2 linked regions of the Macaca mulatta genome follow. The protein of the gene in region 1 interacts with the protein of each later gene in a pairwise test. Links are inferred from orthologs where the notes say so. Each region holds a gene or a part of one and is shown in the gene's direction. Other genes may lie near its edges.

Region 1 (3,114 bases):
AATCGCTCGAACCCAGGAGGCGGAGGTTGCAGTGAGCCGAGATCGTGTGAGTGCACTCCAGTCTGGGTGACAGAGCAAGACACCGTCTCTTTTTTTAAAACAAAAAAAAAAAACTTAAGGCTGCTCCTTCCGGACTGTACCCTGGCATCTCTCTGGACCCTGCTCCCTGTCCTTTGGGGAAACAAAGGCCTGCCTTGGCCTCCTAAAGTGCTGGGATTACAGCCACTGCGCCCAGCCGGCCTTCCTCTTTTCTTTTGTTTTTTGGGATGGAGTTTCACTCTTGTTGCCCAGGCTGGCAGCGTGATCTCGGCTCACCGCAACCTCCGCCTCCCGGGTTCAAGCAATTCTCCTGCCTCAGCTTCCCGAGTAGCTGGGATTACAGGCACGCGCCACCATGCCTGGCTAATTTTGTATTTTTTAGTAGAGATGGGGTTTCTCCATGTTGGTCAGGCTGATCTCAAACTCCCGACCACAGGTGGTCCGCCCGCCTTGGCCTCCCAAAGTGCTGGGATTACAGGCGTGAGCCACTGCACCCGGCCAACCTTCCTCTTTTCTTGCTGCTCAGACAGACACATAAGGAGCCAGGCTGCCTTCCAGATGTGTGGCCTTGGGCAAGTTATTTGATGCCCTGTGCCGCATTTCCTCACCTGTAAGGTGGGCATAATGACAGCACCCACTTTCGGAGGTTCAGTGACTAACGCATACGGCAGTGCGTGGGGCGTAGTAAGCACCTAGCACTATGTATTGTCATCAGCATCCTCTTCTCACCCGAGTTCCCCTGTGGAAAACCCTCATCTCTTAAAAATCAGGGCCTTGGCCCTTGCCCTTCCCCTGAACCAAAATGTGCCCTCCTCAGTACTGTGTCTCCTCCCAGGGTCCTGACTGCTCTTGGTGGTGGCTTATGAGGTTTCCATGCAGGCCAGCGCTTCTGCCAGATTGGGGGCTTCCCGAGGGCAGGGTGGGGTTGTCTTCCCTGAACCTGCCTCCATACTGCCCGGGCGCTGCTCCACACATGACCCTCCAGAGGCCTTTGGTGTTGGATGTCGGTGGAAGTTAAAGGAGGAATGGGAGGAGGTGTTGTGGGCCAGCGGCCACCCCGAAGCTGAGCTGGTGGAAGGCGTGGAGGCCAGAGCCAACCCCAGAGGTCTCGCCCGTGTGTACCGGGCTCTCTCCTAGCTCCCAAAAAAGTCACCTTTGTTTTTGGGAATGCGCTGCGTTCGAAAGCGAAGGCCTCTGGGCCTCCTGGTTTGCAGGGACCCCCCCAACTCAACTTGCTCCCCATTTATTGCTTCCGCCAGGGCCAGGATCCTCTTCCTGCTCCAGTTGCTGGCCGACCACATCCCTGGCGTTGGCCTGGTCACAAGTAAGCTGGGGCGGGGACGTGATGACTGTAGTGCTGGGAGGCGCATGCGTGCCCCATCTTCCTGACTCCTGTGTCTCCTTGCAATTCGATTCTTGGCACAGTCAGGAGAGGAAGTCGGGAAGTCAGGATTGGGTGGGACTACCCTGGCCAAAGCCAGGGTGGCCTGAGGAGCCAGGGGTGGCTGGAAGGAGGGTGTCCAGTGGTGGGGCGACTGTTAGACCACATCAGCTGCCAGCCTTTTTCTGGTCACAGTATCCTGGAGCAATACGGGACCATGTCATCGTGGGGGGATTCAGTGGTGGAGAAGCAGTCCACCGGGCTGCTGAGATCCTCCCTCAGCAGAGGCCCACTGGGCTTGCACTGGGTGACTGGACCGGACTCAGGCCCCTCAGTGCCTACCCTGGCTGAGCTTCCCTCGGCCTGAGGGTCCTCGTCTGTAAATGGTGCCAGAGTCCCCTGCAATGCTGCCTCCCTAGGGGCAGGGCAAGAGAGCCAGCCGGGCTCCTGGGCCGCAGGGGTGAGGTGCTGTATGTGGCGCCACAGCGCAGATTGGGGTCTGGCCCGCCCTGACGTGTCCCTCTCCCACTGCAGGGCCGCTCATGGATTACTTGCCCACCTGGCAGAAAATCTACTTCTACAGTTGGGGCTGACAGACCTCCCGGAAGGAGGGTGTGGGGAGGGGCGGGGCAGGGGGCCCCCTTCCCTAATAAAACTGACTCCAGCAGCGTCCCAGCGTGCGGCCTTTCCGTGCCTACCGGCCAGGCCCTGCACACAGCCCTGGTCGCCACCAGCGTTCTTCCCGGGACCCTCTTGACTGCGCCCTCCTGTGACGATGCCACTGCAACCCGCACCTTGTCACTGCTGGGCCAAGAAGCCTTCACCAGGAGTGGAATCCAGCCTCCTCTCCCACAGAAAGCGGTAACTTCACCTCATGGAGCCTGGGAAGCCGCTTGCCTCGGCAGCCACAGGAGCGAACACTGCTGCTCTCTCGCTGGCCCCTGGTGAGGGCAGGAAGGCTGAACCTGGGTGATGCCTGAACGCTGCCCAGCGTGTCTTATGGCCGGGGCCCTCTGCCTGCCCCTGCTCTGCAGGGCCGTGTGGCTCTGGCAGCCCAAGGCCATGGTGTTGTCAGCCTCCCTATGACAGAGCCTGGTGAACAGTGAGCCTGGCTCCCACGCAAGTGGCACTTCAAGCCCTGCATCCTTGGTTGAGAGTAAAAGGCTTTTCTTCCTTAGAAAAAGGACGTCCGGCACCGGCCAGTACTGGGGAGGAAGTGGGAGCTGGACGGGCTTGGGGAGGAAGCCAGGGCCAGTTCAGGGGGTATGAGCGGGGGTTCCCCACACTCGCCCTACAGGCTCCAGAGGTCGGGTCCACTTGGAGCCATGTAAGCTGCTATGGGGGAGGGCCTGGACGGGGTGGGCTGCAGGCTGCTCTTCTCCCTGACCTTAGCCTGTCCTCAGCCACTGGCCCTGTGAAGAGCCAGCCTCTCCTGCTAGAGTTTCAAACCCACAGAGAGGGCTCCATCTGCACCTGGGTCCTCCATGCCTCAGCTCCTCCCAGACACGCTGCTTTCCTCAGGGCCCTCTGAGGAGCGCCCCCCAGGCCCTCACCCACAGGGGCTGCCTGGGCTCCCATGGTCTCCAGCTTAGTGGAACAGGCGTTTCTGGGCACATGCCCAGCCATCAGAAACCAGCAGTGAAGCACGGACCCCTGTCCTCCGCCTCTCACCAACAGAGGAGACAGGCACGTGG
Region 2 (4,291 bases), on another chromosome or scaffold:
TGTGATTCCATAGTTTACCTCCTCCTACACAAGACTAAGGAGGCAGCTGCTTCTTGGGTTTTGGCATATACATGTTTCTTCAAGGTGTTAAAGGGAAAAAAGTACTTGTTAGGAGGGCTACATGTCACTAGGCAATAGGAACTTTTCAGCTCCGTTATAATCCTATAGGACCACCGCTGTATATGTGGTCCTATAGATTATAACGGAGCTGAAAAGTGCTAGCGAGCTTCTTAACTGGGATAACAGTTTGTTTGTAAACGTATGCAAATGTATTTACTTGTGCTAGCCCAAGGTCAACCTAAAAGGTGGCAAAAAGGTTTAGCCCAGAAGTCTACATAGAGACTAGTGTTGTCTACCTCCATACCACCCTGAACGTCCCCCAATCTCGGACGCTGAGCAGGGTCAGGTCTGGTTAGTACTTGGATGGGACAATAGGGCTAAGGTGAGTAGATTTAATGCTCCAGAATAACGACCTTTACAGACAGGTCATTATGTGGCACGTGGCTGTATGTACAGTTATTAAAATGTAAATATACATATTTGCAAACAAACTATTTTCCCAGTTAAGAAGCTCGCTAGCACACACCATTCTGTTGAAAGCCCCCTTTACTCCGCAGACCTGAAGGGAGTGAGGGAAGGACGTAAAAGGGCAGAGGAAAGAATGAATGAATGCGAGACACCGATTCTACAGGTATTTGTTTCCATACTGCTCTCTACCAGAAACGTTCTCAGTTTCCTTCCTTCTGCTGGACATGGTCCAGGGGCCAAAACCTCAAATAATGTGATGTTGTAGATTGGAGAGTGTGACCACAGAAAGGAAAGGGAGGCAGCACGTGCCAGCCAGCGACAGAATGCTAAGTCTGCAGCATACTCCACCCCAATGAAACAAATAATTTCTGTATTTCCTCCCTTTCCTTCGCCCATAGTCACTGTGAGAATGGGCTACAGAAAGTTTCGAGGCAGTAAAGCCAGTAGTTCACCCAGAACATCTGACTGCCATAAAAATTATGGTGACGAGAAAGAACGTTTGCTCAAATGCCGTGGTTGGGGTGAGGGCTGGAGAAAGGTCCCACCCCGCAGCATTCACCTCCCGGGCTCCTCACCATGTGCATTGCCTCCTCCATCCACTTTTCGGTCTCTTCTGCCGACACCGAGCACGCGCCGCCTGCAGCTGACTTGGGCGCCGCCTTCGCCTCCATACCCGGCCACCACTCAGCGCCAAAGGCCGCCGCGGAGGAGGAGCGCGGGCAGCGGAACGCGGCGGGCCCGGGCCCCCGTTTCCGGGGGAGTCGAATGGAAAGGCACTCGGGAGCGATTTCTGAACGGACCTGGGCGTGTCGGACCAGTGAGCAGCGGCGGCTGCGCCGCGGCAGCCGCAGAAAGCGCAGCTGCTTTGCTCTAGTCCACGCCCCCTTGCCGCTCCGGTGACAGTCTGCGGAAAGCCACGTTTGTGATTTCGGGAGAGCGCAGAGCGGGACGGCGGCGCTCTTGCTTGGTCATCTGGGCCAGGTGACGAAGAAACAGTTTCCCGGTGAAGCAGCCCCTCACTCATAGTCAGCGCACACCCCTAGGGCCTAAAGATGCTGAGGTCCGTATGGAATTTTCTGAAACGCCACAAAAAGAAATGCATCTTCCTGGGCACGGTCCTTGGAGGTGGGTGACAACGTTCTTGAAAGTGGGCATTGGGAGAAGGGAGTGGGAGAGGTGACTTTTTCTAAAATAAGAACAGGCCGGGGCGAACCTAGTCTGGGATCTGTAGAGGGGATTCGATCAACCATGGGATGGAAAGGGAGGTGGCCAACCTCAAGGGTTCTCCCATCTCTGCAGTTGAGAAATGCCTCTGTGCCCTTTGCCCTGTCACCGCCTCTTAACTGTTTCTCACCTATCCTTTTTTCTCACGGACCTTTGGAGAATTCAGTACAGTTTAAGTTTCTGTTACAGGAACTTTTTTTAAAAAATTCTGCTTTCCTGTGAGATTCTTCATTTCTCCTTGGCACTCTTGGCACTATGGCTCTCACCCTTCTCAGGAGTTTAATAATAATCTAGGGGAGGTGGTTTAATAATAAATGATAAATAAATAAATAATAATAAACTCTCAGGAGTTTAATAATAATCTAGGGGAGGGAGTTTAATAATAATCTAGGTGGTGGTTAAAGTCGATTTGAATTTTTGAAAACAGCGCAGTTGTCCTGAAGGACTGAAAGAGATGGATTAGATAAAGAAAAACAAATCAATATTTTAGCTCTGTTTCTGCCATTTTAGAATACAAACTGTGGCAGTAAGAAAAATGCTTGAGGGATGTTGCGCAGTCTTCCTCAGGATCTTCAAGGTTGGGATCATTGTAATCTAACTGACATAGCTGAGTTGCACGGGCCCAGAGGAGATTTAGAAACAGATAAGATAAAAATCTTGAGACCCTTTTCCCTCATACAATGCTCATGTGATAATATTCAGGGATTTGAAGGAGGGAATAAAAAGCTTTGTGAATTATATGAAAAGAACATCTAGGAACTTTAAAAGAGGAAATTTGTTGTAACTTGAGTTTTTGAGAAATATTCTTATCACTTATTATGTGCTGTGTTTACAGAAGTACTTAAAGAACAGAGGTTCCCAAAGAATTTGGTTGGCTTTTCTCTTAGTATTAGATTGTATTCTGTTCTCCCCAAACAATTTGAAATTAACAATACATATTAGATTGTATTCTGTTCTCCCCAAACAATTTGAAATTAACAATACTTATTAGATTGTATTCTGTTCTCCCCAAACAATTTGCAATTAACAGTACCTTTAGCATCAATAGTTCAGATTTTGGTGATGCTTCAAAGTTTGAAACAGAGTTCTTGTTGCTGAGCCAAGGATGGTGTTTGCATGCCTCTGACATCTATCACAGATCAATAATAAGCGTGTAAATTTTGAACATCTTTGAGAAATCCTTTATATATAAAAGGTATTTTCTGATATCTTCATTCTCTAGTATCTAATGTATATTTAAATTATCCTAAGACTACCGAGTCCATTTTATTTATAAAAGCTAAAAATAGATGTGTGATTGAAGCAATACAAATAAAGTATTTTTGCCTTTACCGAAGGAAGGAAAATTATCTCTAACAATCTCAGAAGGAATACTCCTTCAGCTTATGGAACAACCTTGTGGTAAATTAGAAATAATCACAGGGGAAGCAAAAGAGTAGACTTAAAAGAAATTTATAATTAAAAAAAAAAAATCTAACAAGAGCCTTATAGTTACAGAATAAGAGGAATGCAAAAAAAGAAAAGTTTAGACGGATAGAAAGAGAAAATAATCCTAGTGTTTTATATCAATAAAGGAGTCAGTCTGAAAAGAAAGGAAGAGTAGATGACCATGGTTGGCATTTGTTTGAGCCTTGTATTCTTTCTGCTTCAGGGAGAAAGTTCTACAGTATGTTAGATTTTAATTAATCTGACTTAAGAAATATTTATCAAGTACCTGTAGTGCTGAAAGTAATATGTATGGAAATACAAGATTTATAGATTTTTAATAGTAACAGCTACTATTTATTGGGAGCCCACTTTACACTGGGCATTGTGCTAAGCTCTTCCTATTTAGGCAGAATGACAAGAAGGCAGTTATTATTATCCCCATTCAAAAATGTGGCAACAAGAGCCCTAAGAATTTAAGAAACTTGCCTCAGGTCTCAGAATTAGTGAAGGGAAACTGGAATTCAAACCCAGGTGTGTTGGACCCCAAAGCACATTCTCTTTCCACATTATATCACTGTGCTTCCATGGTCTTTATGGTCTGATAGGAAGGAAAAGCAAGTATACATGTAATTAAGATACAGAAAAACAAGAGAGGTGAAAAAATGCTGTACAGATCACACTGGCAAGTAGCATATACAGTTGTGAAAAATCAGGAAGAATTTCATGGAAAAAGAGACACATTTTGACAGGCTCGAAAGCTGGACAGTATATCAACAGGATGCTTGGAGAAGTTTGGTCATTCAATCGTGGGGGAAATAAGTAAGTAAAACCTTCAGTAGCAGGCCTTCTTAAGTAACAATTTCTGTTTCCTTGAATTTTAGATGGGTAACTAATTGGTTTACACCAGTTTGTATAATTTGACCAGTTTGGGGTGTTTGGGTGTGTTCGGTTTTTGTTTTTGTTTTTTTTTTTTTTTCAGACAGGGTCTTGCTCTTTACCCAAGCTAAAATACAGTGGTGTGATCATAGCTCACTACAGCCTTGATTTCTCCTTTGCTAGCTTTACAATGTAAGGCAAGTAGAAAGGCTTCCTTATGAAGATTTGCCTGACA

Evidence for each region. The genes of interacting proteins can lie anywhere in the genome.
Region 2: the proteins of PEX16 (region 1) and PEX3 interact in binary tests that used the Homo sapiens proteins (3 or more experiments, as listed by UniProt). The link is inferred for Macaca mulatta from reciprocal best matches to the Homo sapiens genes PEX16 and PEX3.

The regions. Positions count from the first base shown.
Region 1 is NC_133419.1:19,705,839-19,708,952, forward strand, and holds the end of PEX16 (peroxisomal biogenesis factor 16), read left to right. Parts: intron 1-1,298; coding exon 1,299-1,363; intron 1,364-1,954; coding exon of another isoform or gene 1,955-2,013; exon of another isoform or gene 2,014-2,085; coding exon 2,086-2,177; 3' UTR 2,178-2,603; downstream 2,604-3,114. UniProt on the Homo sapiens protein: Required for peroxisome membrane biogenesis. May play a role in early stages of peroxisome assembly. Can recruit other peroxisomal proteins, such as PEX3 and PMP34, to de novo peroxisomes derived from the endoplasmic reticulum (ER).
Region 2 is NC_133409.1:48,706,026-48,710,316, forward strand, and holds the start of PEX3 (peroxisomal biogenesis factor 3), read left to right. Parts: upstream 1-1,396; 5' UTR 1,397-1,580; coding exon 1,581-1,653; intron 1,654-4,291. Other genes in the region: ADAT2 (tRNA-specific adenosine deaminase 2), read right to left, coding at 1,104-1,199. UniProt on the Homo sapiens protein: Involved in peroxisome biosynthesis and integrity. Assembles membrane vesicles before the matrix proteins are translocated. As a docking factor for PEX19, is necessary for the import of peroxisomal membrane proteins in the peroxisomes.